Linked DNA regions of Arabidopsis thaliana. The protein of the gene in region 1 interacts with the protein of each later gene in a pairwise test. Each region holds a gene or a part of one and is shown in the gene's direction. Other genes may lie near its edges.

The links.
Region 2: the proteins of GCP2 (region 1) and GIP2 interact in a two-hybrid assay, tested with the Arabidopsis thaliana proteins (one study listed by BioGRID).
Region 3: the proteins of GCP2 (region 1) and GIP1 interact in a two-hybrid assay, tested with the Arabidopsis thaliana proteins (one study listed by BioGRID).
Region 4: the proteins of GCP2 (region 1) and SPC98 interact in a two-hybrid assay, tested with the Arabidopsis thaliana proteins (one study listed by BioGRID).

The regions. Positions count from the first base shown.
Region 1 is NC_003076.8:1,677,213-1,683,209, forward strand, and holds GCP2 (gamma-tubulin complex protein 2), read left to right. Parts: upstream 1-2,017; 5' UTR 2,018-2,127; coding exon 2,128-2,256; intron 2,257-2,374; coding exon 2,375-2,687; intron 2,688-2,775; coding exon 2,776-3,176; intron 3,177-3,319; coding exon 3,320-3,373; intron 3,374-3,447; coding exon 3,448-3,552; intron 3,553-3,654; coding exon 3,655-3,729; intron 3,730-3,821; coding exon 3,822-3,866; intron 3,867-4,010; coding exon 4,011-4,139; intron 4,140-4,248; coding exon 4,249-4,353; intron 4,354-4,438; coding exon 4,439-4,507; 3' UTR 4,508-4,843; downstream 4,844-5,997. Other genes in the region: AL1 (alfin-like 1), read right to left, coding at 119-370, 492-615, 1,161-1,383, 1,508-1,540, 1,637-1,730; RMV1 (Amino acid permease family protein), read left to right, coding at 5,329-5,997. UniProt on the Arabidopsis thaliana protein: Tubulin is the major constituent of microtubules. The gamma chain is found at microtubule organizing centers (MTOC) such as the spindle poles, suggesting that it is involved in the minus-end nucleation of microtubule assembly.
Region 2 is NC_003070.9:27,742,538-27,746,594, forward strand, and holds GIP2 (mitotic-spindle organizing 1B-like protein (DUF3743)), read left to right. Parts: upstream 1-2,111; 5' UTR 2,112-2,276; exon of another isoform or gene 2,277-2,475; 5' UTR 2,476-2,481; coding exon 2,482-2,685; 3' UTR 2,686-2,892; downstream 2,893-4,057. Other genes in the region: AT1G73770 (coiled-coil protein), read left to right, coding at 46-419; AT1G73780 (Bifunctional inhibitor/lipid-transfer protein/seed storage 2S albumin superfamily protein), read left to right, coding at 1,335-1,631; SARD1 (Calmodulin binding protein-like protein), read right to left, coding at 3,224-3,423, 3,532-3,628, 3,752-3,940, 4,023-4,057. UniProt on the Arabidopsis thaliana protein: Required for gamma-tubulin complex recruitment to the microtubule organizing centers (MTOCs). During mitosis, modulates gamma-tubulin complex localization, spindle stability and chromosomal segregation. Necessary for gametophyte development and embryogenesis.
Region 3 is NC_003075.7:6,037,206-6,041,544, forward strand, and holds GIP1 (AtGCP3 interacting protein 1), read left to right. Parts: upstream 1-1,849; 5' UTR 1,850-2,001; exon of another isoform or gene 2,002-2,489; 5' UTR 2,490-2,500; coding exon 2,501-2,716; 3' UTR 2,717-2,720; intron 2,721-2,830; 3' UTR 2,831-3,021; downstream 3,022-4,339. Other genes in the region: CRP4 (ECA1 gametogenesis related family protein), read left to right, coding at 364-732. UniProt on the Arabidopsis thaliana protein: Required for gamma-tubulin complex recruitment to the microtubule organizing centers (MTOCs). During mitosis, modulates gamma-tubulin complex localization, spindle stability and chromosomal segregation. Necessary for gametophyte development and embryogenesis.
Region 4 is NC_003076.8:2,054,581-2,060,750, forward strand, and holds SPC98 (spindle pole body component 98), read left to right. Parts: upstream 1-1,947; 5' UTR 1,948-2,160; coding exon 2,161-4,415; intron 4,416-4,527; coding exon 4,528-4,789; 3' UTR 4,790-5,279; downstream 5,280-6,170. Other genes in the region: AT5G06670 (P-loop containing nucleoside triphosphate hydrolases superfamily protein), read right to left, coding at 18-115, 210-439. UniProt on the Arabidopsis thaliana protein: Gamma-tubulin complex is necessary for microtubule nucleation at the microtubule organizing centers (MTOCs). Required for the positioning of the gamma-tubulin-containing complex on pre-existing microtubules and for the proper organization of cortical arrays.

The DNA.
Region 1 (5,997 bases):
TTTTTGAGAATCTAACACCAATAATTGTTTTGTATTCATACATTAACAAAAGGATGTTTTGCAATAACTTAAAAAGAAATAAGGAAAAATGAGAAAGATGACTCACTCATTCATTCACTCACTGTCTTCCTTTCTTAGTGCAGCAAGAAGGGCATTTGTATTGCTTGATGCTCTCTGCTTTGGCTGGTGTTATCTTCACACACTTCCCATGGTACCAACGTTCACACACATCACAACATATCCAGAACTCGTCGTTTGTGTAGTTTCCTCCACAACTTCCACAGAGTGTGTCTCCATGCTCATCGTCTTCATCTTCATAGCTCTCTTCCATTAGTTTCGGCGTGCTCTTTGTCTGCCCTTCAATTGATCTCTGCAACAATTCAATACCAACCAAAACACAACTAATTTATTAATATCAAACCCTTCTCTGTCTTTGAGAAGAAAATACTGTTTTGGGATGGTAAAGATTAGTAAAGAGTTCATTATGATACCTTTACGCCGTTTCTGGATTTGCTTCCGAGATCCATGCTTGGTTTACCGTCTTTGATGGGTTTCCTACCCGTCACTACTTCAAAGAGAGTTGGGAGATCGTTGATCAGACTAAATAGACGTTTCCTGCTCATTGAATGGAACATACATAATAAGTTCCTAGACCCAGTAGCATAATCTCAGAAGACTATCAAATAAGCTCATATACCCGCACATATGTAACTTATGAGCTTCATTACCAGCAAAAACATAGACTCTTATAGAACGTAAAGGAAATAAAACTTGAAGGATAACTGGATAAGTAACCTAGTGAATACCACGATATCATCAGCTCCGATAGAACAGATATGTATTGAATGTAGTAGCCATTTCTATATCCAAACGATGCACAAGTTCAAAAAACAGAAGGATTAGTGAAAAATGGTATGCATTTAAAGAAACTTAACCTAAGAAGGAAAGAAGCTCATTGACAAGTAGAGTTAAAGTGACAGAAAGAATCAGGAAACAAAAACAAAATAGTGATGACACAAGCTCATGAATCATGATACAGTCCATTGTCCAAAGACATATTTTTTCTCATCATTACCACCACAATCTAGCTAGCACAGTAAAACTATCTTCGACAATTTATAAAAGTCACTGAAACAAGCAAGAACAAAAGGCAAACGTACCTCTCATTGCGATTAAGACGAGCGCCGAAGTAAGAAGAAACAGAGAGTAACCAACAATCACTGTGGACAGCAACTAAAGAGAGCCAATCTTTACGCTGCATACCATCTCTAGCGAAATTGATTCCAAGAGCTGGCTCAGGTAGCTCCGGAGGCACTTCCTCAGCTGGAAGATTCACTTCCCATGTCCCATTCGGGTGTCCGTACAAACACAGATTCTCCATTTCTAAGACCACCCAATAAACAAAAAAAGGAACAAAATTTATCAAAAAGGGTATCTTTTTCTGAAACTTATCCATGGAAAAAACAAACACAGATCCGAAAAATAACCATGGAAAGAGCTCGTTTACCCGGATCGCATAAAGAGTAGAACTTGTCAACATCTAGTAAAAGAGAGGCAAGAACAACAACATGTAAAATTAGAAAGCTTAACATTTACGAGAAAATAGGAGAAAATGAGGATAGCGTCGTCGTCTAACCTACGGAGAGAGCTCGAAGAAAACCGGAGCGACGACCGCTAAAATCCTTGAAGATCTCTTCGACGGTGCGAGGGTTAGAAGACTCAGCGGCCATAGATGTAGTGACGGAAGAAGCAAAAAGAAAGAAAATTACAAGTATTGTTAGAGAAGACCTAAGTAGATAGATCAGTGGTGTTAGAGATGGATTGAGGTCTGCATCAATGGTTTCCAAAATCCGATGCGCACGGACAAGAGAGATAGAGAGAGACCAGAGTTTAAGACTTTAAGAGTAGTAGTAGTAAAGTAACTTCTGTTTTTGGTCTCTATTTTAAAATGGGCCTGGCCCATGGCCCATCGAGTTGAATTCTGATAAAACGACGTTTTCTCTCTGTATCTCTCTGTAAATGAGTAAAGAAGAAGCTGAAAGTGTGGCTTTAATGAGTATAGTTTGATCATCCTCTTCAGGCGTAGTAGTCTCGAAACACTTAGGTAGGGTTTTACAGAGGAAGAAGATGCCGAGGGAGATAATTACGCTTCAGGTTGGACAATGTGGGAACCAGATCGGTATGGAGTTCTGGAAACAGCTTTGCCTTGAGCACGGCATCAGCAAAGATGGTATTCTCGAGGACTTCGCTACTCAGGTCCTCTTTCTTCGAATTCGTTTCTATGCATCGATTAATTGAATTCCATGGTTGCTGGTTTGTTGTTGTTGTTCATAGAATTGTGGATTTGATTGATGAACTACTTGTATGTATGTAGGGAGGTGATAGAAAAGATGTGTTTTTTTACCAAGCGGATGACCAACACTATATACCAAGAGCTCTCCTCATTGATTTGGAGCCTAGAGTTATCAATGGTATTCAGAATGGTGAATACCGGAATCTCTACAATCATGAAAATATCTTCCTTTCTGACCATGGCGGTGGTGCTGGTAATAACTGGGCCAGTGGATATCACCAAGGGAAAGGTGTTGAAGAGGAAATCATGGACATGATTGATCGTGAAGCTGATGGAAGTGACAGTCTGGAGGGTTTTGTTCTTTGCCACTCTATTGCTGGAGGCACTGGCTCAGGTATTTTACTTTTTATTGCCAATCCCTATCTTCGTTTAGCTTATGTTTATTCACTGAATGACTTTTTTTTATGTATTTTCACATGAAGGAATGGGATCTTATTTGTTGGAGACTTTGAATGATCGTTATAGCAAGAAGTTGGTTCAGACATACAGTGTATTTCCCAATCAGATGGAAACGAGTGACGTTGTTGTCCAGCCCTACAACTCACTGTTGACGCTGAAGCGGCTTACGTTAAATGCTGATTGTGTTGTTGTTCTTGACAACACTGCATTGAACAGAATTGCTGTGGAGCGTCTACATTTGACTAATCCTACTTTTGCTCAGACCAATTCTTTGGTGTCAACTGTGATGTCTGCTAGCACAACAACGTTGCGTTATCCTGGATACATGAATAATGACTTGGTTGGCTTGCTTGCATCTTTGATCCCAACTCCAAGGTGTCACTTCCTCATGACTGGATATACACCGTTGACTGTTGAGCGCCAGGTTAGATATCTCAATCAGTTTTATAACTAATATCATCAAACCATTTTTATGGGAAGCTGCTGTTATCTGGAACATGACTTCTGAATGTTATGATTGACATTTTCATTGATTTCCTACTCTCTTATGTGAATTGTTCTTGGCAGGCAAATGTTATTCGTAAAACTACTGTGCTGGATGTTATGAGGAGACTTCTACAGGTGAGCTGTTTGCTTTCTCCAGTCTTTTTTCGAAAATTGAATTAGATTTTCTTCTAACATGATTGTATTCGCAGACAAAAAATATCATGGTTTCGTCTTATGCTAGAAACAAAGAAGCTAGTCAGGCAAAGTACATATCAATATTGAATATAATTCAAGGAGAAGTCGATCCCACTCAGGTACTTTTATGTACTAATTTTTTTGTTCGATATATTGAGGATGAATCGGTAATTCTTTCTTGTTGATGTTATCTGCTCTGTTGTCTCACTACTTGATATTAGGTGCATGAGAGTTTGCAGAGGATACGAGAAAGAAAGCTTGTCAATTTCATAGACTGGGGACCAGCAAGCATACAGGTTCTAACCGAATTGCGTCGTCAAATTAATTATTGCTTTTGGATTTACCATGGACTTGCATCACAATTTTTTCCATATCTTACTCTCAACAGGTTGCTCTTTCCAAGAAGTCCCCGTATGTTCAAACTTCCCATAGGGTAATCTTATATCACTCTATATATATCTGTCATGCACTCATGCTGAGAGTTGGTACTCCTTACAGTTAATGTCTAAGGCTGCAGTTCCTGCTTTAGTAGATACATCGAAGACTCTTAAGTTTGGTGGTGTATTTGATATTTCAGGTCAGTGGTCTTATGTTAGCAAGCCACACTAGTATCAGGCACCTTTTCAGCAGATGTTTGAGCCAATATGACAAATTGAGGAAGAAGCAAGCTTTTCTTGACAATTACCGAAAGTTTCCAATGTTTGCTGTAAGTTGACTGCTCAAATATATCGGCTGATGTTTAGTGCAACCCACCCTATTATTAGCATTGACAGTTAATGTTGAAATCATGAGAATCTACATGTTGATATGGACAGGACAATGATCTTTCAGAGTTTGATGAATCAAGGGACATAATTGAGAGTTTGGTAGACGAATATAAGGCCTGTGAGTCTCCAGATTACATCAAATGGGGAATGGAGGTATATAAGCTAAGCTTTTGCCATCTATAGTCACACACTAAAGGAAGAACTTATAATGATTATCGAATATATGTGACTCTCTCAGGACCCTGGACAGCTTATGACTGGTGAAGGCAATGCTTCAGGAGTTGCGGATCCTAAGTTAGCGTTCTGAACAAAAAATAAAAACTCAAGAGTAAGTCATATGATGTTTCACTTTTAACTGAGATTTTCAGGTCATGATAGGTTTTCTTTGGTAGGATCAGTAGTAGTAACGATAAAGAGTGTTGGCATTGTAAACCTTGAATAGTATTATGATGTGGATGAGTTTCAATCTATGAGATGAATGTGTTTTTTTTGGGTACTTTCTAAGATTAAGAGCACCTAAAAGTTGCATAGCAGGAATCTTGAATTGTATTAGTAACATATATTCTTGGAATCCTATGCATATTGAAGTTACACCAATGTAACATCGTGGACCCCTCCTACCTTAAAGTTTGTAGCTGCGAGAAAACAGGTTGTTCTAATAGTGCAGCAACAAAAACAACCTCGTTTTAACCTTGAGATGCATGCTTATTAGGTGAGTGAGTGCTAAAATATAAAAGATTTTCTTTTGGGTCGGCAATACAGGAATTTATTCATTGATGGATTTTATCTAATAGGGTTTTTAAAAAATATTAAAGAAAAAAGAAGGTTTTATCGTTATCTAACATCTCTTATGAATTTATTATCCTACATAAGTTGTCAATAAGAAGCCTTGTTTCCTTTTTCTTTCTGTATTTCAATATAAGATAAATTTCTGAAACCTGGAACAACAACATCTGCGATTGTTTCTGGGTATTCATTCTTTTCACAAAGTGTAAAGCTTTAATTTTCGATTTCGCGGAGCTCAAAGTTTCAAACTTTTCCATGTTTCTTGTTTCTTCTAGCTCTGTTCTGTGTACGTCGAAGCAACTTCCCTAGCACTTTCTCAATTATTTTAAGTTCCAATTCTCGATGACTGAGCTTAGCTCTCCGAATCTTGACTCCGCCTCGCAGAAGCCAAGAATCTCCACCGAAAACCCTCCTCCTCCTCCTCCTCACATAAGCATTGGTGTCACCACCGGTGACCCTGCTACGTCTCCGGCGAGAACCGTCAACCAAATCAAGAAAATAACGGTACTGCCACTAGTTTTCCTGATATTCTACGAGGTCTCAGGCGGTCCGTTTGGGATTGAGGATAGTGTGAAAGCAGCAGGACCATTGTTAGCCATTGTTGGATTCATCGTCTTCCCTTTTATATGGAGTATCCCTGAAGCACTCATCACTGCTGAGATGGGAACAATGTTCCCGGAGAACGGTGGTTACGTCGTGTGGGTCACTTTAGCTATGGGACCTTATTGGGGGTTTCAACAAGGTTGGGTTAAATGGCTAAGTGGCGTTATAGACAACGCTCTTTATCCGATTCTCTTCCTTGACTATCTCAAATCAGGAATCCCGATACTCGGTAGTGGGATCCCTCGAGTCGCTGCGATTCTGGTGTTGACTGTAGCCTTGACTTACTTGAACTACAGGGGTTTAAGCATTGTTGGTGTAGCAGCTGTTCTTCTCGGCGTTTTCTCCATCCTTCCGTTTGTGGTGATGTCTTTCATGTCGATTCCAAAGCTTAAACCTTCGAGATGGCTT
Region 2 (4,057 bases), on another chromosome or scaffold:
AAGATTATAATTTTGCTTACTTTCTTAATCCAATTGGTATTTCAGAGCTGAAAAAAAGAATTCAAAGCTTTTTGGATGATGGAAATGAGGATGCTATACCTGATTTATTTGAGGCATTGATGATTAGGAAGTTATCAGGGAAGCACGATGATAGTGATGATGAAGTGATGGATGTGGTGCGTAAGTATCCAGTTAACGATGCACATAAGGTTGACGATATTGACTCTGATATTGAGAGTGATGGCCATGGTGATTCGTCTGATTCAGATATTGAGAGTGATGACTTGAGAGATGGTGATTCGTCTGATTCCGATGTAGAGTTTGATGGTTTCAATGATGTTGGCTTGTCTGATGTCAATATTAAGACTGATGCCCTGAAAGCTAATCGCTCGTCTTATTCTTACTCTGAAAGTGATTAACACATGGTAAGTTTTGGATTTCGCACCATACGGTACTCGCAAAGAGAACATTTTCTTCTGTATTTTACAGTCTCTTATTTTTTTGTCACATTTTGCATTTTCTACTTGTATAACTTGATTAAATGGATATACAAATTATTTAGTACTTTAGAGATTTTCTAACACTGTGCTTGTTAGAGACTATTTAATCTTTAAGCGTGTGATTGCTTGCTTAATCATGTGTCTTGGGCTTTGTTTATCCTATTCATTATGTGCTAAGTATGAAAACCTTGGTGGCTGATACCACATGGAGAATATGGATTCTAGAAAAGTGTCTGAGTAAACTTAATATATACTGCAGCTTATCTTCTTTTATTCTTTCATGGCCTGATATATGTTTAACATTGTGATCAATGAACTCTAATTGGTCTTGGTTTTGGGCCACAGACTTATGCACTACATTGAAGATTTTGAAAGGAAGCAACTGCCTAGTGAATGGAAACAGATCAGTTTTTGGTCCATGTTGGCTGTAAGTTCTGCCTTTTGAATATAATTAGAAATTTAAGTCATATTTTGTGCTTAGTACAATAGTAATGAAGTAAAATATATAATTATGAAGGTGTTCTCATTACTTTGTTTAAGTGTCAACAAATTCATATACCTTCACTGGGGGTAGCCGAAAGCTGACATCTATTTTGGTTACACGTGGTTTCATAACTTCTCCAAAATGGTGCCTAGGTGTTTTTATGCTTTGTCCGAGCCTTTTAGAAAAAAGTTAATCTCTTTTAGACATATCGAGATCTCCTGCAACCACAAACTCTCGTTTGAGTAACGTGACTCACTCAAAGACATTTTCTTCTATAAATAGAACGAGAGAAACCCACTTTAAACTCCAAACCAAATATCTTCTTCTTCTTTCTATAACTTAGTGAGACAATGAAGGGTTCTTGCACAAAACCAGTGTTTTTCACTTGTACAATCCTTCTCATTTTAATTGTTGCCCAAGAAAACAGAGTCGCTGCAGTAGATCCATGTAATCCTGCGCAGCTGAGTCCATGCTTGGAGACCATAATGAAAGGGTCTGAGCCATCGGATCTGTGTTGCAGCAAGGTGAAGGAGCAACAGCATTGTATCTGCCAGTACTTGAAGAACCCTAACTTCAAATCTTTCCTTAACTCCCCAAACGCCAAAATAATCGCCACTGATTGTCATTGTCCGTATCCGAAATGCTAGTCCCAGTATTTCGTTCTAGTTTTCGATGTTCTGTTTCTTGCTTTCAAGACCAAAAAAGGTGTTCTGTTCTGTTCGCTCATCATCGATGGTTTTTCTACTTCAAGTTTCTTACTTTTGAGTTTGGCTTTCCATTAATGTGTTTGTCGTCAAGGAATAAATCTTGATCATCACATATTCACATTGATATGTTTTTAAGAAATTTCGGATAATTCGACTAACATAAGCTACTTAAAAGTTAAAAGTTCCAATTTCAAGGATATCACTACAAAATAAGTCTCTAAATTTGGATGCAATTTTGTCAATTTTGGCCGAATTAATCATAACAAGGTCTTGAATCCCTTGATTCCGACAAAAAAGAATCCCTTGATTAAAACTAGTTCAGAGACTTCGATTGTATTAAAACCGGCGGATTTTATTTAACCGACCGATTTGATATGAACCAGTAAATATACTCTGAACCGGCCAAAGGTTTATTTTCTTAAAAAAAACAACCCTAGATTTCTAAATTCTAATTGTTGGCCCATTTTCGCCTCTTCTTCTTCGATCACGAGATCGAGAATCGTTTCTCTCAATTATCTCAAGCTCTAAGATCTCACTTCTTCTCTCTCAAACTCGACGCCGTTCGTTTTCTCCGTCGATTAATCGGTTCGTTTTGTTCCTTAACCTTTTTCCGATCTAATGTATCTCTTGATCCGTCGGCAAGTCTCCGATTTCCACTTTAAGGGTTTCCATTCTCTGTACATCCATGGAGATCCGTACAAGAATAGAGTAGATATTCATATGTAAATTGAATCGTTTCCGAAATTGATATTTTTTTGTTCTGGATGATGTTTGGTGGTTTCAGAGTATTATGAATCAGGAAGCAGCTGAAACAGCGAGAGAGTCACTGGAGCTGGTGTTTCGGATGTCGAACATCTTGGAGACAGGTCTTGATCGACATACTTTGTCTGTTCTTATAGCTCTTTGCGATATTGGTCTTAACCCTGAGGCTCTCGCTACTCTCGTCAAGGAGCTTCGTAGGGATTCTGCTACAACAACAACTACGGTTGATTAAGAAGATGCCTAATCAAATAGTATCATTCATGCTTGTTTTCTAAGTTTCAATTTCATTATGCTATTGATGTGTAAATTAGGGTTGGTAAGGTAATTGAATAGAGAGTTTCAGAGACAAATTGGTAATAAGTATTTGAGTCATCCCCACTCAATCCTTTTGAGAGGCTTTCTTTAAGTAAATCACAAAGTTACCCTCATATTCTTGATTTCTTTTTTTAGTCAATACTTTCATCAAGTACGTACATATACAGCGGAATCAATTTTTCTAAAACGTAAAAACGTAAAAATTTGTTGAACGTGAATGGTAAAAACAACGTTTTCATACAACTGTGAAAACGTGAACAAGTGGTATACCATCCAACTAAAAATATAACTCTAAACTTCACACTTTTATGTACAATCATGATCAGCAGATCTAGAATACATGTTTTACCATCATGTACGTAGTAGTAGTTTAAAGTTTAAACCCTTATTTAGAAAGAGTCCAATCTCGGCCAAGGCACTATGGCGTGTCTTCCAATACTAACGTAGATGAGGATTTAGAAAGGGTTTATATGATTTTGAGACGAAGATCCGGTGAAACATATATTGAATTCCGCTGGAGTCGTTATATACCCTTCGTTTACTATCTCCAAATTGTTTGTAGATCTCTCTTGAACATATCCGTTTTGTTGATATGATTTATCGATTTCGATGTTTTGGTAGTGGCTCGCAGCATATTGTTGGTCCAAATCATCACCTATATAATCAAAATTACATTGTTGTAACATACTATATAATCAACGATGTTTCGCAATTATAGAAAAACTGAAATGGTGTTTATGTTGACACTATTTTAAAGTAATACCTTGTGTCAAAAGAGCAGCCTCGTTCGCTGTTCGTTCGCCCACTTCTAAAAAGTTCCCCTTTGAGTAAGCATCTCGAACTAAGTTCTTAACGTAGGGCTGCAACAAAACATTACCATAGATGAATTAAAAAAATAAATACAGTTTCTAACTAATAAACAATCATTGAGCTATCAATAATTGCTTAACTTCTTTAATAGAGAGAAAATGACCATTCAATACCTGGTTGAGGGATTCTTGACTAGAGAGAACATGACCATCGATAAGTGCTTTCATAACTTCGCATATCGGATTCAAAATCATGAAAAAATTCGGTCCTCTAGAAATGTATAACTTATTTCCCAAAATACACTCTCTAGCATGTTTCAATGTTACTTCCCACTTTCTATCAGACATTCCAGGCCCCAGAATCTGTACATCAACAAACCCCTATTCCTATTAGTTCTCTAATAATAATAAAAATTTAGGGGTCAAATAAGCTAAGAATTTAAACCTGACGGAGTTCGTCGACGTCAACGACGGATAGTT
Region 3 (4,339 bases), on another chromosome or scaffold:
TTCTCTAAGAAAATATTATACATCGATTTGTTTGTTTGAATTTTGAGATATAAAACTGGTGATTGATTAATTATGTGAAGTCATACGTTATACTTTTATTTTCTCTCTTTTAATCAATATTTCTTAGTTAATGTTGCTTCTTTTACACTTGGAGTTTCGTCTTTATTTTGATTTATAAAACTGTTAATCAAATACCTAATTAAACCATTCAAAGATGTTATTAAAATAATTAATATCACAGTTTTACATTTCATTCCATATAAATAAGCAGGAATCTTATTGTTGTTCATCAATCAAAAACAAACAGAGCATTAAGCATATATTTGGCTATACTAAGGCTTTTTTATTTCTCAGTTTCTCATTATGCCTATCAAAAATGTGTTTTCACTCTTAGTGGTTCTATGCATCATAGTTTCTGTAAATGCTCAGTTACCTCAGTTTCCGGCTCCGTTTCTTTTTCCATTTTCGTTTCAACCGATTCCTGGAATGCCAGGATTACCTGATATAACGAAATGTTGGTCATCCGTGATGGATATTCCTGAATGCATTGCAGAGATTTCTCAATCCATTTTTATTGGCAAATTCAGTAATTTAGGTTCTGCTTGTTGCAAAGCATTTTTGGACGCTGAAGCCAACTGCATACCAAAAATTCCACTTATTCCGCTTTTCCCTCCGATGCTAAAAGAACAATGTTCAAGAATTGCCGGTGTAACTCCTCCTACACCGAAATAGAGTTTTAAATTATTATTTTTTAAATAGATAATTTTTTTTCCAATTTATTTCTTACAATTTTAGCTTACGCTACATGTTATACTCCAAAAAAATATCATATAAAGTAAAAACATTTGAGAAGTTGTATTTGGGTTCAATATTTACTCATTCTTCAATTCTAATGAATAACAGCTTGAAACATCGATTCTATAATTAACTTTGTCTTACAATGTTTCAAAACTTGGAATTATATTAGATAATTCCCTTCTAAATAGACAGTTGTGAGAATTAAATAATTTTTTACGAGATTTAAATTTTACATAGTAATCTGTATTTTCTAAATACAAATTTTAATCTTACACATTCTATAGATTCTATATAACATGCTTTTATTGATTACATATAATAAGGTATTTCTCAGAGTACAACACAAAGATAAGACAAAGACGACTGACGACATACAACATCAAGAAAAAGACGGACGCAACGGAGCCTCTAGATGCATATTGTTGTAAACAAATTGAACGATATAATTGAGGGAAAAAAATAAACTTAAGAAAATAAAAGAATAAACATATTTAAGTTATTAGAAAATATTAAAACACATATTAATATTTTTCAAAACAAAATAAAGAACTTATACTTCTGTTTTGAATATATCAATTTTAATAGAATTAGTTCATTAGTTCAATAGTTTAGTATATTAAATAAAAAATTTGAATATAGAAACATTATTTTTGACTTTATGTATATATTTCTTTTTCAATAAGGTTAGAAAAAATTTCTATTTATGTTTTTAAATATAAAAAAATTTGATTTGACATGTGCGAATATCTTATTAATAAATTTGACACGTGAGTTAATAATTTTGAAAACTCATTTCTTATATAATGAAATAAGCATTTGTTCGAGAAAAAAATATTAAAAACAAACATCTTCTATATGATTTATCTCAATTATAAAAAATCTGTTTTTTTCAGATGTTAAAAAAGAAAAACAATTGTGTCAGAGTTATATTATTTTCTTTTCATTAGTATAATTCATTAAAAAAAATTAACACTATCAATCTTAGTGTCGGAGTTATATTTCAAACATATTTTTGTTTAGAATATTAATATGATTATTGAAAGACAATAAACTTTTTTTCTTTTGACATAACACAATTTACATTTATTGAAAGACCTCCAAGTCCTTTCCCTTCGTCTCCCACTTCTCACTTCACACTGTGAGTCTGCGACTATCTCCAAGACCAAGCTTCATACTTTATTTTTGCAAATTCCGTTTCTAAACGTAAGTTTTCTTATCTTCGTTTCTATCAGATTACTCCTTAATTCTTAGTCTCGAAATAAAAAATTTGAAATTTATTCGATGTTATGCAAATTGCCGCCGACATAAAAACCCTAATTTCAATCTCATTTTTCATCTGAATTACATTTCTTTTGAATTGAATGTTTCTGGGTTGTGTTTTGGTTTTGGTATTAACTGATCTATTAGACTAATCCTTGTTCACCTATCAGATAATATTATTGGGCTCTGAAACAAATTTGACTCACTTTTGTGTGTGTGAGCATTGTATCTTCACTACAAAGCTCTAGCTTGAAATGTTGTTGTGTAATTTATAAGACTCTAGTTTCTAACTTCTTATGTCAAAATCACCTAAGAGTCTTTGACTTGGTTCTTGTTAGATCATAGTTCACTTACTTTTGTCTAATTTGGTTTGGTAGAAACTCTATAATTCACTAACTACCTTAGGACTTTAAAATTGTGGAGTTTAACAGGTGTGATCAGTATGGATGAGGAGGCATCTCGGACAGCAAGAGAGTCACTAGAGCTTGTGTTTCGCATGTCAAACATCTTGGACACGGGTTTGGACCGGCATACTTTGTCAGTTCTCATAGCTCTTTGTGATCTTGGTGTTAACCCTGAAGCTCTAGCTACTGTTGTGAAAGAGCTTCGTCGCGAGTCTATCCCCGATTCTGTCACAACCACACCATCTATACACTGATCAGGTATTGAGAATTTTCTCAGTCTAATGATGATTGACGAGTCTATGCCCAAGTCTACCTCTTTCTGTTGTTTTCAGATCTAACATATCGACCGGTCGAAATTTATGTTGCAGGTATGCAATGGATTATACAAGTATTGTGGTTGGTATGTGAATCTTGTTACTACTTTTTTTGTATCATTTAAACAAAATTTGTATGGATGAATTATAACTTCTTTTATTTGTATGAACCGTTATTTGAAAGCCAAAGTAGCAGAATGCAAAAAAAAGTATATAATTGTAATTTTATCTCTCAAAAGCTCATAGAAAATTCAGTGATCATGTGTCACTAAAGCAGAATGCAAAAGGAATTTGGGATCATCTGATTCACAACCCCTGGAAGGTAAAAACATTCTATGTATCCCCGAAGAGGGAAATCACACTCAATCAAAATCTCTGCACACCAAATCTCCGTTTTACATTCCTTAGTATAAGTCTTCCACCGAACTATCACTCTCCTTCCTCAGGCCAGGGTTTTGTCACCGAAATAAGATACTTAGAGGACGGTTCTTCAAGTCCTCTAATCGTGAACGTGCATATATCACCGCAGACTAGTTTCGAGTTTCAGAAACCCTCGCTGTCCACCATACGTTATTCTTTGACTCTAACAAGCAAACAGTAGGGCACAAACCAATAATTTTCTCGCGAGAAAATCTTCCAGTACATTTTGTTGGCTCCCAAGTCTGTGTCTTTGGGTCGTAAACTTCTCCATAATTCTCAGCAGTGTCATAATACTTACTGCTGATGCCTCCAAACACAGATCTTACCGTCGATAACATTAAAACATGCTTCTTCTCGAGGGACATGCATCTTGGGGAGTTGACGCAAATGATGAGTTTTACAACCAAGTAAATATCTGAACCAAGTGATACAACAGTCGAAGAACTAGGATGTTGGTAAGGAAAGTTAGGAAGTGAAGGGACTGGTATCAGTTTCTGGTTGGGAGAAAGGGAATGTACGAACCAGCCAGGTTTTTTATTTAAGTTTAAGCAAACATAGAGACACTTCTCCTTTTTTCCTATAAGGGATCTTGCGGCCTCGAGGTCAGGGGAAGCTAGGAGTGATCGGAAAGTCTTTGGAGACTAGAGATAGGGTTGGATAATGGCACACTTCTACAAAGTATTGGAAATGTGTTTTTCTTTAAGCCTAGAGACAAAAGGCCTGAGTTTTACTCTTTCACAATGGCTAATACATCCATAGATTTCTGTCTTTAATTGACTCTAATACTTGTATTTCTTCCGTGGCCTTTACGCCAAATCAATCTGTGGTAACATCGGTAGGAAGAAAATATTATAATATTCGTCTTCACCTGTTAATCTACTCGGTAAGTATACGGTATAGTTTCTGCGTAATGGTTAAACTTTTAGAAGACAAGTATTAAGCATATATAGACAAAGAACCAAAGTAATAAGCTAGTTATATACCCACACTCAATGGTTAGCTTAATGATTCACCAGAGACGCTTTACTCTTCAAACTCACTCATCTCACATTCATCATTACTCCACAACTGTACAGCTGAAGAATATCAGTCACACTGAACACTCTTTTTAACTCTATTGTTTGCCAAAATCATGCATGGTCA
Region 4 (6,170 bases), 380 kb from region 1:
AAACTGTTAAGACTAACCATAGGCATAAGCTATTGATTGATTATTCTCATTCCGCACTATCGTTTCCCCATCTGCATACCATGCAATCTCCTCTCCTTTCCGGATTTCCCTTGGACTAAGTGAAGCATAAACCAATGTCAACAATCCACAGAACAAACATATAAAACTAAAGTGTTTGAATCCTACACAAAAGAAATCAACATATTCACCTGAGTGGACGAAAACGCACAGTGACAGTGACATTTTCTTTGGACTGCAAAGGCTTAGGTGGTAACTGAGGCTTGCTTCGAACCGATGAAGAAGTAGGGGAGCTATGGCTATCTACAGACGCCTCTTGATAAAGTTTTGAAGACGAGGTTGTTGAAGATGCAGAGGACTCAACAGTCTTTAACTTGCTAAATCCACCATTTCTAGTCTTTGATACTTGTTTAGATCCCATCACAAAACCAAATTCAAACTTCGAGTGACTGAAAAAATGAAGAAAGTACAAAACTTTATCAAGTACAGACTGAAACCAAGCTAACGGAATTATGCTCGACTGTGTAATGAGCTAAAGATTCCTTTTTTTTTGTCAAACTGAGCTAAAGATTCCAAATTGTCATAGAGCAACTTGCAAATTGACAGGAAAGCAATGAAATTGGGAGTTTACAAAGCTCAATCGGTAAGCGAGTGAGAGAATCACAATGAGAGGAATAAGAGAATTACGGAAATGCCACGAGCTTCGAACACTTGGGTTAGGTCGAAAATTGCAATAAAAGAGAAGAAGAGAGGCAAGTGGGTACTAACTCAATGTAGCATCACCGCCGCTAAAAGCCGAATCGCATGCAAAGGATTATGATGATGCAAGAGAGAGTGAGTGATTACGTAGAAGAAGAAGAAGAAGAGGAACTTAAAGAAGAGAAAAGCATAATCATCATTAAAAGAGTAATTAGTTAGATGATTGCGATTGTTGTGTAAAAGAGTGTTTACTTTTTAATAATAATCTCTCGCTTGCCTTTGAAGTTTGAAGTGATAATACCCGAGTTTCAATTGTTTATTCGTTCTTCTCTTAAACTGTAATCACCAAAACATCATTAAGAGATAAAGATAAGAGAAGAATCGTATACGTACACATGTACAATTGTACGTATTTGCCTTCACGGATTTTTCTATGTCATAAATAGCTATAAACTTCTAAACTTTTGTTGTTGAATCAATTATGATTAGATAAGGAAGTAAATTGGTGTGAAAAAGATAAAGATATGGAAATGATAGTAAAGTAGTGTATATATATAAATGGTGTGCAATCTGTAACAAACAGAATATAGAGAAATTAATTAGTGAAAAAAGTAGAAAGTGATTGTTACAGGGAATATTTTTCCACATACGTAAAAATAGGTCTAATATTTTTACTTTTTAATTCCGATCTTGTACTTTTCTTTTTACAATTGATTAAAGTGGAAATAAGCTTCCTTTATTTTCATCTTCATTGATGAAAATAATGAGTAGAGAAACATTTTACTACCTAAAATGAGTAGAGAAATCATTCCTCTATTCAGAGAACAAATGTCTAAAATGAACTGTTTTTATTATTTTGCTCAATAAATACATAAATTTGGTAGATAAAACCAAATAATCTTTTTTAAATGCTAGTTAATTTTTTAAAAAAGTATACATTTTTATTGGTACCTTTTATTGTGAATTAAATATTATGAGGTTTTTTCATATTTATATATTTCTTTATTAATTTTAAAATGGAAAATTCTCAAAATTCCATTAAACAAAAAAATTCTACGTAACATATCAATTAACTTGTGAACTTTTTTTTAATTCAAACATTATTTTTCTCCGTTGTTTCAAATAATATATTTGAAATAAAACTTATAACAAAAAAAATGAGAAGATATTTTGCATAATGTTTTTTTATTCCAATGTTTTTGGATTTCAACATATGTATTCAATTGCCCGCCGAGGAAAAATAATTACATAGCTCTAAAGTCCAAAAGAAGCCCAATCTTTTTTTATTCGTTCACTCACTACTCTCTTCACTCGCCCAAACTCTGCAAAACCTCTTTCGATTTCAAAAATCAAATTCACCAAAAAAACTTCGAAGAACAAAAAAAATCCAAAAAAAGGTGAAATCGAAGAAGAAGAAAAAAAAGGCAAAAGCTTGAATTGATTATGGAAGACGACGATCAGCAGAAGGCTGCAGATCTAGTACAAGAGCTTGTTCTTCGTCTCGTCTCACAAAACCCTCAAACCCCTAATCTCGATCCCAATTCTCCCGCCTTCCTCAAAACCCTTCGTTACGCTTTTCGTATCCTCTCTAGTCGTCTTACTCCTTCCGTCCTCCCTGACGCCACCGCTATCGCTGAGTCTCTCAAACGCCGTCTCGCTACTCAGGGTAAGTCCTCCGACGCACTCGCTTTTGCCGATCTCTACACTAAGTTCGCTTCCAAAACTGGACCTGGCAGTGTCAATAACAAATGGGCTCTTGTTTATTTGCTTAAAATTGTTTCTGACGATCGTAAATCGGCTATAAATGGTCTTGATTCCTCGGTTTTGTTACCTAATTTGGGGATTGGTGATACTGGTAATGGGGTTTTGAGCCGTGGAGAGGCTAAGAAGAAGGATTGGAGTAATGGGGTTTTGTTGGTTAGTAAAGATCCTGAGAATTTGAGGGATATTGCGTTTAGAGAGTATGCCATTTTGGTTAAGGAAGAGAATGAAGTGACGGAGGAGGTTCTAGTGAGGGATGTTTTGTATGCTAGCCAAGGAATTGATGGGAAATATGTCAAATTTAACAGTGAAATCGACGGTTATGCCGTGCAGGAGTCTGTTAAGGTGCCTCGAGCTACGAGGATTATGGTTCGTATGCTCTCTGAGCTTGGTTGGTTGTTTAGAAAGGTTAAGACTTTTATAACTGAGAGTATGGATCGGTTTCCAGCTGAGGATGTGGGAACTGTTGGGCAAGCGTTTTGTGCGGCGTTGCAAGATGAGCTTTCTGATTATTATAAGTTGTTAGCTGTGCTAGAAGCGCAGGCCATGAATCCTATTCCTTTGGTTTCTGAATCAGCAAGCTCAAACAATTACCTTTCTTTGAGGAGGTTGTCGGTATGGTTTGCGGAGCCTATGGTGAAAATGAGACTGATGGCTGTTTTGGTTGACAAGTGTAAGGTTTTGAGAGGTGGGGCGATGGCTGGGGCTATCCATTTGCACGCACAGCATGGTGATCCGCTTGTTCATGATTTTATGATGAGTTTGCTTCGATGTGTGTGTTCTCCGCTATTTGAAATGGTGAGAAGTTGGGTTCTAGAAGGGGAGTTGGAAGATACTTTTGGTGAATTCTTTGTCGTAGGTCAGCCGGTTAAAGTCGATTTGCTTTGGAGAGAAGGCTATAAGCTCCACCCAGCAATGCTTCCATCTTTTATTTCACCAAGTCTAGCTCAGAGAATTCTGAGAACTGGGAAATCTATAAACTTTCTTCGTGTTTGCTGTGATGACCACGGGTGGGCTGATGCAGCTTCAGAAGCAGCAGCTGCCTCTGGGACAACAACTAGGCGAGGAGGTCTCGGGTATGGTGAAACAGATGCACTTGAACATCTTGTAACCGAGGCAGCAAAGAGAATCGACAAGCATCTGTTGGATGTTCTATATAAGAGATATAAATTTAAGGAGCATTGTCTTGCGATTAAGCGTTATTTACTACTTGGTCAAGGTGATTTTGTCCAGTACTTGATGGATATTGTAGGACCCAAGCTTTCTGAGCCAGCCAATAATATTAGTTCATTTGAGCTAGCTGGGTTTCTTGAGGCTGCAATACGAGCATCAAATGCACAGTATGATGACCGTGACATGCTAGACAGATTGAGAGTGAAGATGATGCCTCATGGCAGTGGAGACAGAGGCTGGGATGTATTCTCATTGGAATACGAGGCAAGGGTTCCATTAGATACCGTGTTTACTGAGTCTGTTTTGTCTAAATACCTGAGAGTGTTCAATTTTCTCTGGAAGTTGAAACGGGTAGAGCATGCTCTTATCGGAATTTGGAAGACCATGAAACCAAATTGCATCACTTCGAACTCATTTGTTAAGCTTCAAAGTTCGGTGAAGTTGCAATTACTCTCAGCCCTGAGGCGGTGCCAGGTCCTTTGGAATGAAATGAACCATTTTGTTACTAACTTTCAGTATTACATCATGTTTGAGGTATTGGAGGTATCATGGTCTAATTTCTCAAAAGAGATGGAAGCTGCTAAAGACCTCGATGATCTCTTGGCAGCGCATGAGAAGTACCTCAACGCCATTGTTGGAAAATCTCTTCTGGGTGAACAGTCACAGACCATCCGCGAATCACTTTTCGTCCTGTTTGAGCTTATATTACGGTTCAGGAGTCATGCAGATCGTTTGTATGAAGGAATTCACGAGTTGCAAATAAGGTGTGTTTTGTCTTTTATATTCAAACAAAAGTAGACCTTAAACTATTGCTCAAACATTTTCCTCTGATTTTAGGGTCACAATTTGATCTCTAATATCACCGATTTCCTGCAGATCTAAAGAATCAGGACGAGAAAAAAACAAATCGCAAGAGCCCGGTTCATGGATCAGTGAGGGTAGGAAGGGCTTAACACAGCGTGCTGGAGAATTTCTACAAAGCATGAGTCAAGATATGGACAGTATTGCAAAGGAATACACATCGTCACTTGATGGATTCCTATCTCTCTTGCCTCTGCAACAATCTGTAGATCTCAAGTTTCTCTTTTTCCGGCTTGACTTCACTGAGTTCTACAGCCGATTGCATTCCAAAGGATAAGAAAGTTGAAAGAGTATCAGGTTTAGTTGAAAAGCATATTGCACAATCGCAAGAGAAGAAGACATTATCTACGTCTTTCACTAACCGCTGACTGCAGCATGGGCTCTCCTGAACCAGGGATGCAGAGGTTCTTTTCTTAAAATCTAGGTGCGTGGGAGAATCTGTTTCTTATTTAGAGACTGCCTCATAGATTTTCTGTCTTTTGCATAGATTGTTTTTTCAATGGCTTGTTTCAAAGTTTAGGATTGGGAAACAGATTCTTTGTGTTGGTAAATTGGGGAAGGTTTGTGTTTGAGTTTGTGCTATAAGTCTGATGATCTCCAGCTTTAGTTTTTTTTCTTCTTCTGTGGTTCACTGATTTGTATGATTTGTTTTATGACTTGGTTGATATAAGAAGGAATCAGTTGCTTCTTCATAATGTGTATCTCCATAGTGTAAAAGGCTCCAAACTCTGAATTTTTCACTATCTAGAAGCTTCTGTAGCCACGGCCTGAGATTGAGCACAAGCATTAGCTCACAGTGATTTTAATCCGCAAGCCTTTCTCTTGCAATTAAGAAGAACCTTTGTGATACTCTTCCTCTCATCCACATTGATCTATCTCTGTGTGAATGAAGCATATGAACAACAAAAAACAAGTAGCTTTTGGCAAGAGTTACAGTCTCAAAATCTAAAGCAATCGTGTCCAATTTAAAAGAAAAAACAATTCACGGTTGTCGATTAATTTGCAAGTGCAGGCCAAACTGGAGGTTAACATATAAGGAAAAAAAAAAGGTGAAAAAATTCGTCGCCTGAGAGATTCGAACTCTCGCGGGGAAACCCCATTTACTTAGCAGGCAAACGCCTTAACCACTCGGCCAAAGCGACGATGATGCTCAATTAATGAATTGATTAATTTAATCGTTAATTGAAATTATTAGTATAAAATAGAAATCAAAATGTGAAATTTCTTCCAAAACATTAGCTTTTCATTCACTCGTAGAACTTGTAATAGAGTAGCTCATTTACTTGCCAAACATGGTTGTCTTCAATGTAACTACTACTCTGATTATGCTTGTCCTCCTAATTGAATGGTTGAACAATTGTACCTTGACTTTAGCCATTCTTAATTAACAAAGCTCAATCTCGACGAAAAGAAAAAAAAATGTGAAATTTCTTGATTATCAAAAAAAGGAGTTTTTAAGTTTGAAATTGTATAAAGAAAGAAAATAAGAAAACTGACTGTACATATTAATTTTTTTTAAAAGAAAAAAAAAAGGTAGGAAATGAAAAAAAAGAGAGAACTAGACAAATTTGTTGATCAATTCTCTAACTTCTTCGATGACAAGCCATCCTTTGTGACCTCCAATCACCTCCTCTTTCATCTCATCTTCCTTCCATAAC